Kluyveromyces lactis: one gene and its partners. The protein of the gene in region 4 purifies or fractionates together with the protein of the main gene of each other region. This does not show direct contact. Links are inferred from orthologs where the notes say so. Each region holds a gene or a part of one and is shown on either strand. Other genes may lie near its edges.

Region 1 (4,905 bases), on a different chromosome or scaffold from region 4:
TTATGGTTAGGTGTTAATCCAACGGTGGCCTTCCTTGGTTTTTCCAACATCGCTTTATATGCATGGTTATACACTTCATTAAAAAGGAAACACATAATTAACACATGGGTTGGAGCACTTGTCGGTGCAATTCCTCCTCTAATGGGGTGGGCTGCATCTTCTCCATTATCCCATCCTGGTGCATGGTGTCTTGCTGGGTTGTTATACGCATGGCAATTCCCACATTTCAATACGTTAAGTCACAACATCAGGAATGAGTACAAGAACGCGGGATACGTCATGACTGCATGGAAGAATCCAAAGCTTAATGCTCGTGTAGCTCTGCGATACTCACTTCTGATGTTCCCATTATGTTTTGGTCTTTCATACTTCAATGTCACCGACTGGTATTATCAATTGGATTCAGCATTTGTTAATGCTTGGATGTCACTATGGGCATTCAAGTTTTATTTCCAGCAAAAGCGTAATTACTCCAAGGAGATATACAATAACAAGACAGAATTCAACAAAGGGTTGGCAATGGCCAACGTTTATGCGAGGAGAACATTCTGGGTCAGTGTACTACATTTGCCGGCAGTATTGATTTTAGCAATTTTGCATAAAAAGGACCGTTGGGACTGGCTCTTTGAAGATAAGAAACAACTCTCAGCATAATTTCACACATTCATTCAACATCAGGAAAATCTTACTTGTGAATAGTAATTTATTATTATGTATTTAATTCAGAACGAAAATCATCAATTATTTTGTAAACATAAACTGTAAATATTCAGAAATCCGTTCAAGAAGTTTACACAAGCTCAGAAGATTAGTTATCAGATTTCTATAATTATTAAGGTACACATGGTACGGCTATTTGATCATGATATATGCAAAAATACTCTATTTATAATAATTTACCGAAGTTCAACGGTCGAAGAGTCCATCATCAACATAATCCTCATCGTCATAATATTCATCAGTGTAATCAGACTCGGATCCAGATGAATCTGAATCCAGTAAAGAGGATGCGTAATCTTCGTCATCTATGTAAATACTTGTCAAAGTTTCACCCTTGAGAGTGGATTTTTCATTGACAATATAAGAGCCCTCAACATAACAATTTGTAAGCTTTGATTTCTTGCCGATTTTTGCATTTCTACCGATGATGACATTTTCTAGCTGGGTTTCATCATCAATTTCAACATTATCAAGCACAACACACCCAACGATACGGCATCGCTTTCCTACTTTACAATTGTCACCGAGGACCGAACGTTTAATATTGGTTTTCTCCAAAATTGCACAATTGTTACCAACCATAGAATCTGCACCGATAGCAGAAGAACCATCAGTAGTGCGTTGTTGAATCGCCGTTTGTTTAATCTTCAAAACGTACCTATTGGATTCCATGTATGCACTCAAACTGTTTGATCTGATAAATAATCCGATTTCAGGTAACACGAAGATACCTATAGTTTCTCTGGGTTTCACATGCTGCCACGAACGCCTAGACAAATCCCTGAATAGCTTGCCTAGCGATTTATTACAGTTTATTGGATCTTTGATTAATTTCTTCTTTCCCTTCAAGAAAGACGTGTTCTGGAATGATGTGGCCAAAGAATCAACGGCTTCCGAATCAGAGTCTAATTCTCCAGCACCTTTCTCGGTTTCATCCTTCAATAGGTTTACTAACTCATGAGAGCAAAAGTAAATGAAGGAGTTCAGTAATTTTGTGGATACAGAGGAGTTCGGATATCTCCAAAGCATTTGGGATCTGATTTGTAAATATTTCGTTTTGTCCACATCGTCTTTGGAATAAACGTCTAGAAGAACGGGCTTACTAACAGACTCCAAATTCTCGGAGTATACAGTCAGGAATTGCTTTAAATGCTTCTTATCGATATTCTCAAACCCATTGTGATAATATACTGCCATAGCTAGATTCTCCGGATCTTTATTCAAATACTGATCTAAAAACACCTGTGGTGGAATGTCTGTGATGAAATCACAAGGTAACAACACGAAATCTCCAGTTATCTTATCTAGCAATTCATTCTTCAGACATTCTCCTGTATTCTCACATTTTGAGGGTATAATATTAATAGGAGATGGTTTTTTCAAATAGTGAGCATGGTTCGATCCAACGCTTTGGGATAACAGTCCAAAATAATGCCCTCTCACTTCACGGTATTTTTTCAAACTTTCCTCTAATTCGTCAGCATCGGATGCGTCAATAACTAGATTGACCTCTTTAAATTGGGCTTGCTCACACCAATCTAGTACGAACTCAATCATGGAGCGGTTTGCAACCGGCAATAGAGCTTTGGGAACACCAGTGTCTCCACGAACATTGGAAAACGGTGTTAGCTTCGCACCACGTCCACAGAATATAAAAGCTTGAAAATCCATTGTTCTGTACTATTCTGGGAATATTAAACTGTCTTATCTGGAGATCAACGCATCAATAAAACGTAGAACCCACTATATATCTTCAAACTGTACCGTGGCAGGTCATCATCCTACGTGATGCTTAGGTTAGTCAATACTCCATCTTATATTGAAAAGCTTTATTCCTGAAAATTTCAAAATCGTGCGTAATGATCTCCCTTTCTATTTAGTAGATTCCGAATGCTTTTGCCACCATTCAATCTAGTAACCCATAGTCCAAATGAAGAGAATAGGTAAGAAAGGCCAAATCCAACCAATTGAGTTGAGTCAATCCATTATAACAGTACTAGTCCAACCAGGAAGGAATACTGACAGAATAAAGGTACGGGATTTTTCTCCTTTCATATTGAGAAGCAGGAATAGGAAGATTAAGCTAGTCTGATCAGAATAAATACTAAAGATGTCTCAAGAACAGGATCCTTTACTAGCAGCAATGGAAGAAAACGATGGTGATGACACTAACGGAGCTGGTACCAACTCTAATTCGGGAGAAAATAACGCTGCCGCACCTGAAACGGTGGAGCCTGTGGATCCAGAACAGGCTGCAAAGGAAAAAGCGATGTTACATTTTAAGAAAAGACTTATGGAACACAGACGATACGACGATATGTTGAAGCAACGCAGAGAAACCATACGGGTACTAGAAGCAGAATATGAGAGAACAGAACAGGATATCAAGGCGTTACAGTCGATTGGCCAACTCATTGGGGAAGTTATGAAGGAACTTTCCGAGGAAAAATACATTGTAAAAGCGTCATCAGGTCCTCGTTATATTGTGGGTGTGAGGAACTCCGTTGATCGTTCCAAGCTAAAGAAGGGTGTCAGAGTCACACTTGATATTACTACATTAACTATTATGAGAATTTTACCTAGAGAAACTGACCCATTAGTTTATAATATGACCACTTTTGAACAAGGTGAAATCTCTTTTGATGGTATCGGTGGTCTTACGGAACAGATCAGAGAATTGAGAGAAGTCATTGAGCTTCCACTAAAGAACCCAGAAATTTTCGAGAGAGTGGGAATCAAACCACCTAAGGGTGTGTTACTATATGGTCCTCCTGGTACTGGTAAGACTTTATTGGCTAAGGCAGTTGCTGCAACTATCGGTGCCAACTTTATCTTCTCCCCAGCATCCGGTATTGTAGATAAATACATCGGTGAATCAGCACGTATCATTAGAGAAATGTTTGCATACGCCAAAGAACATGAACCTTGTATCATCTTTATGGACGAAATAGATGCTATCGGTGGACGTAGATTTAGCGAAGGTACCTCAGCAGATCGTGAAATTCAACGTACATTGATGGAACTATTAACTCAGATGGATGGTTTCGACAACTTAGGACAAACGAAAGTTATTATGGCTACGAATAGACCTGACACTTTAGATCCTGCTTTACTAAGACCTGGTAGATTGGACAGAAAAATCGAAATCAGTTTACCAAATGAGGCAGGAAGATTAGAAATCTTCAAGATTCATACATCCAATGTAAAAAAAGCTGGAGAATTTGACTTTGAAGCTGCAGTCAAGATGAGTGATGGATTTAACGGTGCGGATATCCGTAACTGTATAACTGAAGCAGGGTTCTTCGCTATCAGGGACGACCGCGATTATATAAACCAGGAAGATCTAATGAAAGCCGTGAGAAAGGTTGCCGAAGTCAAGAAGCTCGAAGGCAAGCTTGAATATCAAAAGTTGTAATGAATATACACACTTGTTTAGGCATCTCAAGTAGATTCATAATTTTAAGATTAAAAACCAACCACTATAGTATAAGCGCTAAAATTGTTGCCGTAATTATGAATCATTAGTAAATCTATTAAACGATGAAATAGCCCTATCTGCAGTTATTAAACCTTTTTTTGACACGAAACGCATATTAAACTCATCTGCTAGATGCTCCTTAAGCTTTGCAAACCGATTCTTGAAGTTAGTGGAACAATAGGGGCATATCATCTCAAAGTTCTTGATATACCTTTCGGATAGCTCCTTGTCACCAGGCAAGTCCAACACAGGTAGTTCATCCCATGGTATAAAGAACGGGGAGTTGAAAGAGTTGAAATGCTTTTTGTGCTTTAATTTCTTACTATGGAAATCTCTTGTCATGACATGTATATGTGTATTAGCCATTGATGGAGTGCTATGTACTCCTGATTGGACAAAATTCGCCAAGAAAGCTTCTTTCTCTTTCAAGGATATATCTTTTATGTCATATTTTTTTATGAATTGAGTCCAACAGAATCGTTTAGCCCAATCAATATGCCATTGAAGCTGCACCTTGATGCCATTGTCGATTGTGGTGGGATGAGAATTGCTGATCTTATGACTTCTTGGCAAAACTAAAAAATGTTCTTCAGATTTAGGGAACTTATCATGTATAATGGTCGCTATGTCGTCAAAGTAGAGTACTTCAGGCAATCGTTCTGGACACAAAACGTACGGTCTGAGACCTATGCTGAACGAGTTCTCCC
Region 2 (5,460 bases), on a different chromosome or scaffold from region 4:
TCTAAGCTCTCTGGCTAACCTTTCACCTTGCTCTGGAGTGATAGGACGAAGCCTTTGTCTCTGTAGTTTTTCAATAATCACTTTATCATCTCTTAAATCTATCTGAGTACCCACAATCAAACATGGAACACCAGGACAATGATGATGTACTTCTGGGAACCATTTTTCTTTTACGTTCTCAAAAGAAGGAGGAGATATAACACTGAAACAAACCAAGAACACGTCTGTTGATGGGTATGATAACGGTCTTAATCTATCATAATCTTCTTGACCAGCTGTATCGAAAAGACCTAGCGTGTATGGCTCATCGCCAATCATCACCGTAACAGCATAATTGTCGAAAACGGTTGGAACGTAGTCGGCTGGAAACTGGTTAGTTGTGTATGAAATTAGAAGACACGTCTTACCGACAGCACCATCACCTATAACAACACACTTAAGAGTTTGCATGTTTTAAATTCCTTTCTTCCTTGCTTTTATACTACTATCACTGCAGGCCTTTACGGTGTTACTTCCGGCTGACTGTGCTATGTCTAACATCCAATTTGTCTGACTACTCTCCTTCATCACATACATATCTTCGTCCTCCTGTTCTGTTATTTCAATTTTGAAATGGGAATATGTTAATAGATAAGGAAGTTAGGGTAACGTTGTAACGTGACTTGAATTATTTTCAGTCAAACTCTCCCATATAGAATACAGGAAGACCGCATAGGCGGTTGGCAGTCCGGTAGTGAGGACACTAGCCTTGAAATGCGTACGTATATTTGTCTATAGATTACTTTGCATATGGTTATCTCACGTTTACTCGAAATGCTACATGCTACATTATATTGATTGATATTGACCAATCTTGAACTTCGGAGGAACCATGAAAATTCAAAGGGCATTTATGACGTTATTGACTTATTCGTCTTCGTCACTGTCTTCTTCATCAGATGATTCTTCATCTGCAGTCTTTAGCCAGTCCACCCATTTGGCCAGTAGAGCAGTAACTTCGCTGTATTTTGAATCACCGCTTACAGAGTCCCACCATTTGTAAATGACATCTTCCTCTAAGATATCCAAATCATACAAGACATTATATACATGGAATAGAATGAAATCTGGTTTATCGAATTTCTGATCTAGCACACGATCCAGAATGATATTCATTAGATCAATGAACTCATCACTATCAAATGCTTGTCTCTTAAACACAGGACCCCATTGTTGTAAGACTTTAGTGACAGCGTCCTTTGGACCTAGTGTTTGTGTGGCTACAAAGTGGTAAACTCTTCTGAATATAGCGATAACAGAAGCATTCCTGACTTCATGATAAGTGACGTTCATACTCATTCTCAAAGTGTTTAGTTCAAGCATTGATGTGTCTAAATCGTGGTTGTTCTCTATAGCTCTTTCAACTGTTGCGATGGCTTCTTTTTCGAAATCTTCTTCTTCGTCTTCTTCTCCTTCGTAATCAGTATAGATACTAGTCATCGACATGGTTCTCCTCTTTCTATGTTTTTGAGTGATGGATGATATGGAAGTATCCGATAAATAAATGTCATCGTCTCTGTACGTTAATGTGTTCGCAATACCCTTTTCGGTCGATCCATCTTCATCTTCATCCTCATCATCACTTTCGTATAGTACGCCTCTCCCGTTTGGCCCAACCAACTGCTTAGATAGTTTAATCTTCGCATCGGCAACTTCATCGGAATTACTGATTGATAAAGAAGATGAATTTCTGGTGAATGTGCTTCCTTCTTCGTCCTCATCGCTGGAAGAAAGATTATGTGCTGTATCTAAGAATTGAGCTGTGTTCCTCTGTACTGGAACCGCTGAAATCTTGGTTCCAACTGGGATTGTAACATTATCGTCAATCACTACATTGAATCCGATAATGGAACCATCATTCAAGGTGACGTTTGATCCTAATTTAACATCTGAAGCAACTAAAGAGTGCTCAATTGTAGTGTTATCATCAATGACAACATTGTCCCAAATGTAACTGTTTTTGATTCTGATGTTTGAGCCAATTTTACAATTTCTACCAACAACACTATTTTCAATGACTGTACCTTCTCCAATCTTGGATCCTGAGCCGATGGCCGTGTTTTTCTTTATCTTACAGGACTGCGCTAATACCACGTCTTTTTCCTTATAAATGTGTTGGCTTTCGTATGAATAAGTTTGGCCCTTTAAAAGGTTGGCATTAAGAACCAATGGGTAACACCATCTAGCAATAAAATCTTGCGAGATAGCATCATACGTTTGCCAACTTTCTGCTCTAGTGGTGTATTCGTCGGTAATGTACCCGTAGATATGTTTCTTCAACAAATCACTAGAAAGCACACCTCTAACAAAATCTCTTCTCAAGAATTGGTAATCGAAATTCTCTTGGAAAATAGCAGGGACATGAGGAGAACAGATATCTACATGGCAATCAATCAAATCGTTGCGTAACACAAACTCGTCAACACCTTCCAGAAGTTCAGGATCAATATCAATGGTAGTTTTTTCTCTAGAGCTAGCCAATGGGATATCCTGGTAGTAAATACATCTATCATTAGACTTATCAAAAATGAACGTTGCTGGTTCATGAGACCTTGTCTTATGAAACTGAGTCGCTTTACTTAGGCACATAGTGACAATATGATCCTTATCAGCCTTTCTCCTTTGTTTATGAATATCTAAAGCCTTTTCAAAGTCCATATTAGTCACCAAATCACCACTAACAAGTACGAAATCACCGGTAATTAGCCCACGGTTATCGACATCTCTCATTGCATCTCCAACAGATCTGGACTCTAGCGACATGATGGTATTCACCTTAAACGGAGCCCATGGTAAACTCCATTTGGACTGATCGATATATTCCTGGATCTGTTCACCATGCGATGCACAAATCAGATAAACTTCGTTGACTCCGGCCTTAGCTAAGAACTCCAAAGTATATTCAATCAAGGGAATGTTGGCCAACGGCAACAAACATCTTGGTTTCACCGAAGTCAAAGGCATAAACCTAGTCTCAAACGAGTCAGTCAAAACAATCGCTTGTAAACGTTCATCTTGAACAACCTCTTGTTTCTTATTCTGATTGGCTTTACCAGATTTGGTCTTCTTTCCACTCATCTTTCGATTGTAAATTACGGGAAACTCTGGAAACAAAAAAAGCTTAAATGAGTACAAGTATACTATTAATAAACAGGGTACCTTTTTCCCCGTTCTAACCAAAAGACTAAGCGTTTCCAGAGCGATAAAGTTGGATGATTTTCTCTTCTCGATAAACTCATCATCATGTGTAATATGTAATTAATTGATTGTTCAATATTCAAATTTCATGTCATTTCTCACTTTCAATTTGAAAATAAGGAAGAACCAAGACAAGAAAAAAATTTCAGATACAACGCTCTGCGTGAATTTCTGTGTAAAAATCAGAATCATCATAGTAACCCATAAAAAAAAGATAGTTGAAATATGAGAAAAAAATAGATGCCCCTGGTGGGGTTTGAACCCACGACTATCGCGTTGCTTTGAAACGACCTTTTGAAGGGCCAATTTTCATAGAATGTTCCATATTGATTGGAGTCACACTATAAGCACGATGCTCTAAACCACTGAGCTACAGGGGCTTCAATGATGTCTTATTTGCTTTTGTTGATGTTTATATTCTGCGAACCAATAATTTTTTTTACCAAAAGAAGGCATACCTTGAACCATAATGAACACACAATTGGCCCTTCAATAAACCATTAATTGAATTAGCAGAGGTTCTTTGAACTTTTGTTTAGAATATCATTCCTATTTAGAGGTTTATTATAAAATTTACCTAGCAGCAAACATTACATAGAGTATCAATCAAACACCAACATAACAAACATTTACAGCATGTTCCTAGGCAGCTGGAACGTTCTCTCGGAGGAGGTTGCTGTACATACACAGGCTGTTGTTGGGCGTAGTAGCCTTGCTGTGGCTGGTTGTGATTTCTCATAGTATTAATTTTTTTAGTGATAGTTCTTCAGAATAGGGTCTTTCAGTTTCCTATTGGTATTAGAACAGTACGGCTAACACAACAGACCTATTGATTCACTTGAGTGGAGTTGGCAAAGAACTTATACAATTAAAACCCAACATGCTTCAAGTGACATTATATATCAAAAAAAAAATATCAACAATATACAGTCCGAGTAAATGATGGATCGAGTTCTTGCTTATATATATTTTGTATGTGGAGTCGACGTAATTGTTGTACCTTATTTTTAACTGCTTTAAGTGATATTTTTGTTATCACTGCCATTTCCATGAGGCTTCCGCTATTCGACATTTTTTTTTGATTTTTGGGTTTTTTTTTTGCTTTGCTTTTAAACAATAAGCATGAAAGCAGTGCGACAGATATTAAGTTTAGTACGAAACGTAAGTTTAATTATGTAAGTGCACACATTGATTAACACATTCTATCTTAATATGGATAAGTAGAGAAAAGAATTATAGTAACTAAATCAAATAGTGGAAGAATTTCTGGAAGTGTAGGGTCCGTATGGCGTACGTATAAGATTTGGTTTAGGTAAAGATTTGACAGCCCATGAAGTAAATTTGAAATACGTCATTTTTAATTGTATTAGAGAATAATTTGAGCAGCAGCTTGTCAGATATCAGTCGTGATATCCTGGCTGTTGTTGATTTTCGTCGTAATGTTTATTAACTGAATTTTCAATGAAATGGTAAAATCTGTCGCCGTAAACTTTGGGTGGAACAGCACTTACCACTTTCAAATCGTGATTCATACTTCTCCAAAGTGTTTCCATTCTCTTGAGCATCGAGTAGTTCGTCAAACAATCAATAATTCCTACGAAATATATTTGGTTTAAGTCATTGTTGAATTGATCTGAGGCTCTAATACCGCCTTCGTCTTGTTGGAAGAAATGCTTCACTACCTGTGTGTTGTTGATAGGTGGATTCACTGAGTGATGAGTATGACGTCGATGATGATGGCTCTTATGTTGATGAATAGTTCTCCTAGAACTTTGACTTGGAAGTAGATTTGGCATCGCATTTGAGTCTTCTAGAGGATCAACGAGGTCGTTCTTGTTCCCCTCTTCAATCAAATCATTGCCTGTCTCGATATTGTGGATTCCCAAAAGTAATGAATAGTCCATAATGTTAAGTTCAGACAATAGAAGCACGTCTTGCTGTAACTGTTGTAAAAACTTTTTAGATTTCAATGGGCCAAAGTTGATCTTTTCATTCATCTCTAACCAATTTAGATCTTTGAAAACAGGGGAATGTTGTGGGTCCTCTGTCTTTTCACATTTGGTATAGCGTCCCCAAGTAGACCCCTTCAAGTCAAATGTTTTATGAATTTGTAAATGCGGTGGGAATAAGTTGTTCATGACAAGAAAATAAATCTTTCTATATTTGATCTTGCTTCTAAACGAATATGGCATCTTTATCCTGTGTAACCCATAAAATTGGGAA
Region 3 (5,190 bases), on a different chromosome or scaffold from region 4:
GACACCATCGCTTGGTTCAAGCAAAGATACGATGCTGAAGTTTTGGACAAATAAACAACCCATTTAAACTGAAAAAGTGTCCTATCTATCGTTTTATCAAAGCAAGAATATTATTATATCGTAATATATAGATAAATTATTATTTTTACTGCAAATATTAGAATATCTATATTGTTGCCTTTTCTAAATTGTCATTCAACGTCAACCGCCAGCGGTTATTCAATGAATCAATTTCCTGTCTATGAGATTCTTCCATGTTAGTTCTGTATTGAGATAATTGTTCCAACTGTTGTTTCTGAGTTTCTAGCACACCTCTGATCTGTTCTGTAACTGACTTCAACATTTCTTCTTGTACAATAAGCTGTTTCGGCAGCGTTTTGGATATCAGTCTTTCGAGACACAATTCCTGGTGCTTCAAATATGCGTATCGGACTTCTGCGGACATTTCTGGTCTCTCAAGCCATATTTGACTTCTCCATTTTTCAATATTGCCATCCACATCCTCATAAACATTGAAACTTTCCCTCAAACAGCCGTTTACTTCAATTTCTTCTCGAAATATGTCTGCCACCTTGCTGTGTAACGTCGTCTCATCGCTGGTTACACCATTGGCTTCAAGAGTAATTTTCTCGAGATACTCTTGATATCCCAACTCAGTATTCATTTTCAGTACAGAGTTCATGTTTGGTCTGGTTATTTAGTCTTTTCGGAGCTGGAATTAGCGAAGAGTGTTTCTTAGAACAGCTTATCGATGATTGCAATTAAGCATAAGTGCCCCAATGTCTTTATGCATAGACAGGTTTTTAATATGGTTTTTGATATCATCTTGTACGTGTTGAAAAATTTCATGTTTTCAACATTTCTATGTAGAGCGGAAACTAGCCAGAGGAAAGCTTGAAGATTGAATCACCACATCACAGTAGAAAAACACGCTTCATCAGCTGCAATCATTGGGATAACTCATCGGTTATTGGCAGAGGTAACACAATTAATACTCTGATTTGGTTGAAAAAGCCAGCGGTAGGAACAAAGGTCTGATTTTAATCCTCATATAACAGTCAAAGCAGCGAATGTTCTCTCGGTTTTTCACAAGATCGGTTTCAACTGGTGTAGAGTCTCGTGCGGTCTTTGACAACTTCTTACAATTTGTCAAGACACCACAGACTCTAAGACCATACATCTACCGCAAAAAGAATGCTAACCGTTTGTTGGCCATGGATTTGAAAGATCCAGAAACTAAACTTCCTATTCAACCTAGACCATCAGTGTTAAGACCAAGTGCATCAGTTCTCAATAGCGTCATATTGAACGCATCGTCAGCTGAAGAGTTGGAAAACATGGTTAGAGATTGGAAGAATATCACACCTAGAAGGAAAGAGTTCTGGAGTTATTTGATTCCCCAGCATCTACAAAACATGTTGTTAACTTCCACTTTCAAGTTTGGTGCTTTAGGAGCAGTTTTGAATGTTCTGTACCAAATACAGCCATTATTGGTGAAAGCAAAGCAATTAGAAGCCTATAACGTAGATGTATGGTATAATACTGTATTGATGTGTCAATTGCATAGAAATGCGTTCCAAAACGTTCAAGATTCCGGCATGGTAGAGAGAGGCCTAAGGAAGTTATCATCGACTGTTACCAAAAGAGAAGATACAACTGGTTTAACAAAGGAAATTGTTCAAGCTTTGGGTAGACAACAGAACGTTGAGGTGAAATTACCTAATTTCGCTAGAAATATTGAAATTAACTTGCCATCGATCGATGTTAGCACTGCAAGCCAAAATCAATTAAGGACTTTCTTGACAAAGAACACCACCCAGTATTTGTTGAGCAGAACAGCATTAGACTTCGGCTCAACTGAAGCTAAGCTGCAACAGTTTGTTGAAAACTATCAAGCCGTTTTAGCGCAAAACTCGGTTGCTGACATTTACGACAAATACGTATCCCAATACAAACAGCTGTTAACTCAAAAGGCTACTGAATCTGAAACGACAGAAGAAGCTCATGCAGATGCACAAGCAGAAGAAACGAAATAAAGGATAGACTTATCCGTAACCAATATTTCCCAGAACCGTTCATGTATATATATATAAGAATCAACGTCAGTTAAGAATATTACTAGAAATTCAAAAAACATTAACAAAATGACCATAATTCATAAAGAAACTCACACAATATACTTCTATTATATAATTATTGATGTGCCGTCACGGATTCATCGCAAATTGAGTAAATGTTCGTCAATTAGCGCCTGGTACCATGTCACTCCCGCTAGCCAACTCGGGCACTGAGTTTGTTCGATCTGCAAGGAAATCACCGTCAACGAGTTTTCCATCATTCTTTTTAAGAATTTCAATTTTGGTGAAATTATTCAAAAGCTGACATAAATACCAATCGATGATCTCGCAGTTCCTGTGATCCAACGGAAATCTATTGGCAAATAACGGTATACTTTGAGGTATCAAATCACCAATAATGACAGGAGGAGCTAAGGAGGCTTCAGGGAAAGAAACTAATACTGAAAAGACGGCAAATGCACAAGAAGGAGAAAAACCTTTATCTAATAAAGAGTTGAAGGAACTGAAAAAGAAGGAGAAGGCTGCAAAGAGAGCAGCCAGTAAGCAAGCTAGTGGTATCTCTATTGAAAAACAGCAGCAGCAAGCTGCTGCTAAGCGTGAAAAGAAGCAGCAACAAAGAGATCTCTTAGCTGCAAAAAAGAATAAAGCAGCCGACCCGGTCAAACATGATACCAAGAAGTCGACTCTATTTGGTCATCTAGAGACTGCTGAAGAAAGAAGAGCTTCTTTACTTGCAGTTTCGAGTGCTATCACTTCTACAGGTACCTCAAGGATTACTGCTAATGGGTTAGTATTGCCTTTACTTGCTACTACACCCGCGGTTGCGGTTTCCCAACCAATGTCTGCATCTCCTTTGAGTTCAAACCTTTCTGGAAGCAATACTAATTTGGCAGGTTTGGCTCATTCAGAAGATTTTGAAGCCCATCAAATGCTAAATTCCTTGTCCCTTGATGAATCGTCTTCATTTGTCCCAGGAATATCATCCGTCATTCCAAATACCATGACTTCACAATTTACAAATCAACAATCGATTGCCTCTGTAAAAGAATTGATTGCCAATCGCGAAATGTTACATCCCGCTATCACCTCTCTGACTTTGGATTATGCATTCTATAAAATTATAGGTTCCATTCCTCGTTGTATTGCCATGTTAGAGGCATTCCAACTGGTTGTCAGAGACTACAAGACTCCAGAAGGTACTACTCTTTCACGTAATTTGACAAGTTACCTGTCCCATCAAATTGATTTCTTGAAGAAGTCAAGACCATTGAGTGTAACCATGGGTAATGCCATTAGATGGTTGAAGCAAGAAATCTCTCTAATCGATCCTTCAACACCGGATTCAAAGGCCAAAAAAGAACTTTGTGATAAGATTGCACAGTTCGCTAGAGAAAGAGTGCAGTTGGCTGATCAACTTATCATTGAAACAGCTTCACAACATATTGAAGAAGGCAGCACTATATTGACCTATGGCTGTTCCAAGGTTTTAACTGATTTATTCCTACACAACGCCATAAATTTCGGTAAGAACTTCCAAATTGTTATAGTGGACAGTAGACCTTTGTTTGAGGGTCGTAAAATGGCAGAATCTTTGAGAAATCAAGGTCTTAATGTTTTGTATGTTCCCATTACAGCATTGGGTACCGTATTCAATATGGATATCAAATATGTGTTTTTGGGAGCGCATTCGATTCTTTCAAATGGTTTCCTATATTCAAGAGTCGGTACTGCTCAGATCGCTATGTTGGCAAGCAGAAGAAATATTCCTGTACTTGTATGCTGTGAGTCTTTAAAGTTCTCTCAAAGGGTACAGCTTGATAGTGTCACATCTAATGAACTTGCTGATCCAAACGATTTGGTAACCATTGACTCTGCTAATCCTGTACAGAGACGTAACAACAATGGGTTCTTATTACAGCAATTTATCAAAGAGCGTGAAGCGCAGCAGAAGGAAGTCGAGAATAGCTCTAAGCAAAATAATAAATCTGGCAGTGCTAATACCAATAATGCTACTGCCGACGAAGGTAAGAATGTCAAGGATAAACCAATACTAGCAGAGTGGGAGAAATCACCTAATTTGCACATCTTCAATATAATGTACGATTTAACACCCCCTGACTACATCAAGAAGATCATTACAGAATTTGGTTCGTTGCCACCATCTTCTGTTCCCGTGGTTCTTAGAGAATACAAAGCATCAGCTTGAATGGAGCCCTTTGCATATATAATATACGATAATATCATATAATATAGTAAATGAAAAATTAGTATAGATCTTCTTTTTTATTAATTGCGTAGTAATATTCAACATCGTAGGTTGTTTACTTAGGTATCGGCTTCATCGAGGATATTGCTATATATATGTACAAGTTAAGCTATGATCTCGATATTACCATTCACAAGTCATTTTTTCGATTCAAACCTTGTGTCTGATGGCTGGGCTTAAATGTAGTGGAGACCAGATACCTCTCACACTATCGTTCAAAGTATCCACATTGTCGTTCTTAGTTCTGTGACGGAGTTGCTCACCAGATGCGTCTCTGATTAGTTTTAACTTATTCTCTACATTATCAATGTTCAGATTTTTTACGCAGATGGCTTTATTACGGCCATTAACATAGTCACCTTTTATAACTGGATGGCCAGACTTTCTTACTATTTCGAACTGTATTGTTGGATATTTTTCAGCCCATTGAATCATTCTGTTAGACGTTAGGAAATCTCTCAAACCCTGTGAGGAACCACCCCAATTACAGTATTGCAAAGTGATCTTTTTACATGGAAGCACAAAAGCGCCAACACCATTTCTTGCGATAGAAGTTTGTCTCAAAACTTTAACAACCATTACTTCAGAGAAATCTTTATGACCGCGGGTACCAGCTCTGATTAGAAAACAAGTTGGGTGTATTTTGAAACTGTGGAGAGATCCTTCAGATGCAGAACATAGATTCACTAATATATCTTTTGAGTTTTATTCGAGTTTTCAGTTCATGATTATTTTTTTCCAATTTCAAAAGACCATCAGTCACGTGAACAAATCTGTATGTATTCGAAGGTAGGAGGACAATTCACCACATGCTCACACAAATGAAAAAGATACTGGTACCAACAC
Region 4 (4,868 bases):
ACGGCCTAATTACACCAATCTTATTACCTCCCAGTCAAAACAGCAAGAAAAAGTTTCTAATTTCAAAAACAGCACACTATACATTGACCCAAGCCGGTTGGGACGTAATTCAATGGGGAGTAGATGGGCTACCCAAGATTCCGCATTTCATGGACGGGGTTAAAATCGGAACGGATACTGAGAATTATGGCGGCGTTAATTGCAGCGTAAAACTCTCCAGTCGTTCACTCCCAGGTAATTCTCAGCTCAAAAGCGGACATGATTTTGGAACCAAAAATGTAATGGTGTCGAACTATGATGTAAGCTCGGATTCAAGTTCGAGCTCAGGTACTGGGGACGATAATTATAATCCTGACGGTTTAAAGTTGCTGTCTCTCAAACAAATTCTGGCTGATCCTGGGATGCGATATCTTTTTAGAGAGCATCTTTGCAAAGACATGTGTGCAGAAAACCTAGACGTATACTTTGAAATAACGAAGTTTTTAAAAAGAATGTCGGTTCTGCGAAAACTCATTGAGTCTCGAAACCAGAGCGAACACAATAAGATGGATCTAAGGGAATGGAAAACTGGTGGTAGTACTAAACTGAAAGATACAATTCAATCAGCTCTTTTAAAACAAACTAGCGAATGCCTTTCGCTGGTTTACCATATTTACTCCTCTTATATTGCACTGGGGTCTCCGTATCAACTTAATATTGATCATAACGTTAGAGAAACAATTACTGGAATAATATTCCACCCTCAGTCTCCAACTAAAACTGCGTTCGACACTTCAGGCAAGGAAAATTGTTCAAGAGCCATTTCGGATGCATCTGTTAATAGACCCTTAAGCCTCGATCCTGCTGCCCGGAAGAAATGCGTGGAGCATAAAGTACAATCCCATAGTAACACGTCAATGCCATTGGCGCCGACACCTCTTAATAAGGGTACTGAGTCATACGTCATTATTCATGCTATATCAATGTTGAAGGATTTGTATCAGTTACTGGAAAAAATCAGAAATACCGTATTTATCATGATGAAGAACGACTCTTTGCCCAAATTCCTGGCAACAGAATCGTATAGGGACGCAATTTCATTAATAACTGCTAACAAGTAGAACCTAGGCATTTCATCATGAAGAATAAAGATATTCATCTTGCAAAAGAATGTGGCCTTTTCTACCAAGAAAATGGAACATTAATGTGACAATATATACATATAGACATATATAAAATCATTTAGTTAATTTACAGATTAAGCGATTGGTTCAAGAGTGGTACCCTTCTTGATAGTAGCCCAACCAATTAAACGCCAATGCTTTTCGATACGTCTAGATAATGCAATCTTTTCATTAACTTCTGTACATGCAGGGGAAGTTAATTGTAATCTTGCCATATCGGCTTTGACGGCAACCACACGGGCACCAGTAGCGGTGGAACCGATGTTCACCATTAAAACTTCATTTGGCTCTAACTTTCTAACCTTTGCTTGTTTTTGACCATCGGTCTTTACACCTAATAGACGACGCAATAGGAAGTAGTTAATTTCGATATCGGTGTAGATAGATGGCAAATGGCCCTTAGCACCAACGACTTGACCCACTAGACGATCTGCTCTACATAACGTTGGATCGACCTTAGTACCAACACCAATCAAACCACCTGGAACGGCGAATTTTAGGTCGTTGTGTTCAGCAAATAGGGAAACGATATTGGAGAAAATTGGCTTACATTGAATCTTACCATGATCATCTTTAGTGACGATACCTGGTCTAATTTCGATCTCATCGCCTAATTTGAAAACACCAGTCAAAATGGAACCACCGGCAACACCACCCTTCAAATCTTCGATTTCGGCACCTGGCTTGTTAACATCAAAGGAACGAATGACAATCAATCTCGGAGACGCTAAGAAGTCTCTTTGAGGAACAGGAATACTTTTCACGATGAATTCATTCACAGCATCAATGTTATATTTCAATTGGGCTGAGATTGGAACGATTGGAGCACCATCAGCGATGGTACCTCTAATAAATTTCAAAATAGATTTTTGATGTTCCAGAGCAGAGTCTTCTCTCATTAGATCGACTTTGTTCTGTAAAATGATAACGTGCTTCAACTTCATAATTTCGATAGCAGCCAAATGTTCAGAGGTTTGTGGTTGAGGACAGGATTCGTTACCTGCGATTAGAAGTAGTGCTGCATCCATAACGGCAGCACCAGACAACATGGTAGACATTAAAATATCGTGACCAGGACAATCGACAAAGGAAACATGACGGACTAGTTTATAACGTCCACTGTAACCTGGAAGATCAACCTTTGGTGCAACTTCTTTGTCAGATCTGAAAGACTTATAACAGTCTGGTTCTGGGCATTCTGGATCTTCTGCTTTATAGATTTTGGCATTGGCGTAACCTAATTTAATGGTAATATTACGTTCTAATTCATCCTTGAAACGAACGGTTTGAACACCTGAAATAGCTCTCACAACGGTAGATTTACCGTGAGCGACATGACCGATAGTACCAATATTGATAGTGGCTTGTCTATTGATAATTTCTGGTGATAGAGGGTTCAACTTGGAAAAATCTGGGTTCGTTGGTTGCTCTGGAAGACCACCACCTTCTTCAAATTCTCTCTTTCTACGTTCTTCATCCGCTTCCACATCATCAATCCCACTGAAAGTAACAGTCTTCTTAGGCTTCACTTCATCAAAAACTTGCTCCTCTTCTTCAACCTCAAATGTATCTATTGGCTCATCATTAAGATCCCCATTGATGACAATACTTGGCTCTTGGTTTTGCAAATCAGACATCCTGAACTTTAGGTATTATAAACAATCAGAAAAAACTATCACTAGATATCCTTTTTGATACTTTCCCAAATACTGCACCTGGCCGTTCTATTCTCTGGAATTAAACTCGGTTGCTAACAAGATCTTTATACCTTTACACCTTCATTACTCATCGAGATTAATCATATCCACATATATCTACTCAATTCTGTTGAAACTGATTTCGAATTTGGCATTCTTACAATTCAAAAAAATTTTCGATACAAAGTAACGATTTCGTACAGAAAGAGAAATCTGGTGGTATTTTCGATCACGTGATTATGTTTTAAGTACTTGGAAAATGTGCATAACGACATCTGGTTTTGCTTAGGTTTCTCGCCAGTGACAGGTTAGCAGTTGGTGTCATTTCGCAGTATCAATCTGTTAACCGATGATTTAATTCGTCTTATAATAAGTATTTATAGAAATATATAACCAATAATTTAATATTACAACGTCGGATTGAATGCGAATTCGTTCATTAGAATGTCGACATCTTTCCAAACAAGATCTGATTCCCAGTTGTCCCATCTTTCCGTAAGACCTGGAGAAATTGAGGGCGTATCTTCCTTTCTGTTTTCAGTTCCTTCTGATATTATCGATTTTGTAACGGACTGGAAGGATTGCGGTATTGGTGGCTCCAACAACTCATTTAAGGACTGCGCAGCAGGATTGATCTTTCGAGTCGGTTTACTATGATTTGACGGACTTGAAACCCTAAATTGTGGGGAGTTCGTTTTCTTGGCGGTGGTAGAATGGTTTATGAGTTTATTGTCTGTGACGGCGTTCAAAGGATTTAGAGATCTGGGATAACCGCTAGTTTCAACATTGGAAGCACCAGCATGTGTGTTTGTAGGTGATACTATGATATTGTTGCTAGGGGAAGATGAAGATGGCATTGTACCATTTTTCTGTTTCTGCAAAATCTCGTCCTTTGGGGACGTTTTGTTTAGGATTGATTTCAATGACAAAACGTCACTACTATGTGAACCGTTCGGAGATGTAATATTGCTTCCACTGGACTGCTGTGCATTGATGGGCTCTGGGTCAAGTGGAATGGTAGATATAATCCTTCTGGCATGTTCTTCGGAATACCCATCGTTGGGCAGTAGTTCTTTGGACTCTGCATCTCCGTTATGGTTATCGCCACTATTTTCATCATCAGAGGAGACTGTCTTTTCTCTTTCTCTCTTTAGTTTTGCCATACCGCACTTCTGTCTTAATATGAACAAGCAGTCAAAGAAAACACTCACAGACATTCTAGATCTTATGGTAATACTCAAGTTAAAATCCTTTTCTGACTGTGTTGAAGAGGAACTTTGGTCTTTCTTCGCTTTCCACTCTTCGAACATGTTGCTGAACATGCTCCATATACTTCTCATAATACCAGCTGATCTATAAGCCATATCGTACTTGAGGACAGAAGCATTCGAAATTAATGATACAGCATCTTGATAAACTTCATGACCAGTATCGACATCGATAATTGAGCCCAATGAGGAATGGACTAGCTTTGATATTATTGATGCTGCCTGCCATATATTAAGAACATAAACACCTGGAAGATATTTCACAGCTAGTGGATCCCGTTTCCACATACATTTCGCATGTTTCAAGAGTTTTACGGCTGCATTGTACGCTATTACTAGTCCTCTTTTAGTTGCAAAGCTTGTTTCCATGTCTTTCACAGATATTTTTTGGACGGAAGTTGGATCAACATTATCGGTAACATTGCTAAAATAGTGCGTCAACAAGTGCACCTTCGTTACGAGAAGTAAGAATCTTCTGATATCATCTAATTTCACATTATCAAGCTGTAACTCTAGTTCGCTTAGTTGTCTGTTCAAAACGTGTAATAATGGTAATTTTTCCTCATTGGCAACAAGGCCGCTCATATTACTAGGATTTGAGTTCATAGTATCCACGATTTGATTCTCGAAATGAGCAATTTGTAACATTTGTTTGATGGAAAAAGGTATGAAATCTGTCGTACTACTCTCTACTGTTGAAATCTTGCAGGTATTTATAACGGTATGGTCAAAAGAGACAT

The links. Proteins that work in one complex are often made in the same cells at the same time.
Region 1: the proteins of GCD11 (region 4) and GCD1 purify together in Saccharomyces cerevisiae (affinity purification with mass spectrometry; 9 studies listed by BioGRID, with this or other methods). This does not show direct contact. The link is inferred for Kluyveromyces lactis from reciprocal best matches to the Saccharomyces cerevisiae genes GCD11 and GCD1.
Region 2: the proteins of GCD11 (region 4) and GCD6 purify together in Saccharomyces cerevisiae (affinity purification with mass spectrometry; 8 studies listed by BioGRID, with this or other methods). This does not show direct contact. The link is inferred for Kluyveromyces lactis from reciprocal best matches to the Saccharomyces cerevisiae genes GCD11 and GCD6.
Region 3: the proteins of GCD11 (region 4) and GCD2 purify together in Saccharomyces cerevisiae (affinity purification with mass spectrometry; 5 studies listed by BioGRID, with this or other methods). This does not show direct contact. The link is inferred for Kluyveromyces lactis from reciprocal best matches to the Saccharomyces cerevisiae genes GCD11 and GCD2.

Annotation. Positions count from the first base shown.
Region 1 is NC_006039.1:830,231-835,135, forward strand, and holds GCD1 (translation initiation factor eIF2B subunit gamma), read right to left. Parts: upstream 2,392-4,905; coding exon 907-2,391; downstream 1-906. Other genes in the region: COX10 (protoheme IX farnesyltransferase), read left to right, coding at 1-654; proteasome regulatory particle base subunit RPT4, read left to right, coding at 2,831-4,135; HNT3 (DNA 5'-adenosine monophosphate hydrolase), read right to left, coding at 4,232-4,905. UniProt on the Saccharomyces cerevisiae protein: Acts as a component of the translation initiation factor 2B (eIF2B) complex, which catalyzes the exchange of GDP for GTP on the eukaryotic initiation factor 2 (eIF2) complex gamma subunit.
Region 2 is NC_006037.1:382,369-387,828, forward strand, and holds GCD6 (translation initiation factor eIF2B catalytic subunit epsilon), read right to left. Parts: upstream 3,118-5,460; coding exon 907-3,117; downstream 1-906. Other genes in the region: Rho family GTPase CDC42, read right to left, coding at 1-450; MSS4 (1-phosphatidylinositol-4-phosphate 5-kinase), read right to left, coding at 4,638-5,460. UniProt on the Saccharomyces cerevisiae protein: Acts as a catalytic component of the translation initiation factor 2B (eIF2B) complex, which catalyzes the exchange of GDP for GTP on eukaryotic initiation factor 2 (eIF2) and is regulated by phosphorylated eIF2.
Region 3 is NC_006042.1:772,650-777,839, forward strand, and holds GCD2 (translation initiation factor eIF2B subunit delta), read left to right. Parts: upstream 1-2,475; coding exon 2,476-4,284; downstream 4,285-5,190. Other genes in the region: RPL11A (60S ribosomal protein uL5), read left to right, coding at 1-54; KLLA0_F08283g (uncharacterized protein), read right to left, coding at 167-682; mitochondrial 37S ribosomal protein mS44 MRP13, read left to right, coding at 1,071-2,036; MRPL51 (mitochondrial 54S ribosomal protein mL43), read right to left, coding at 4,495-4,923. UniProt on the Saccharomyces cerevisiae protein: Acts as a component of the translation initiation factor 2B (eIF2B) complex, which catalyzes the exchange of GDP for GTP on the eukaryotic initiation factor 2 (eIF2) complex gamma subunit.
Region 4 is NC_006040.1:897,059-901,926, forward strand, and holds GCD11 (translation initiation factor eIF2 subunit gamma), read right to left. Parts: upstream 2,801-4,868; coding exon 1,238-2,800; downstream 1-1,237. Other genes in the region: GTPase-activating protein SST2, read left to right, coding at 1-1,100; leucine-responsive transcriptional regulator LEU3, read right to left, coding at 3,268-4,868. UniProt on the Saccharomyces cerevisiae protein: As a subunit of eukaryotic initiation factor 2 eIF2, involved in the early steps of protein synthesis.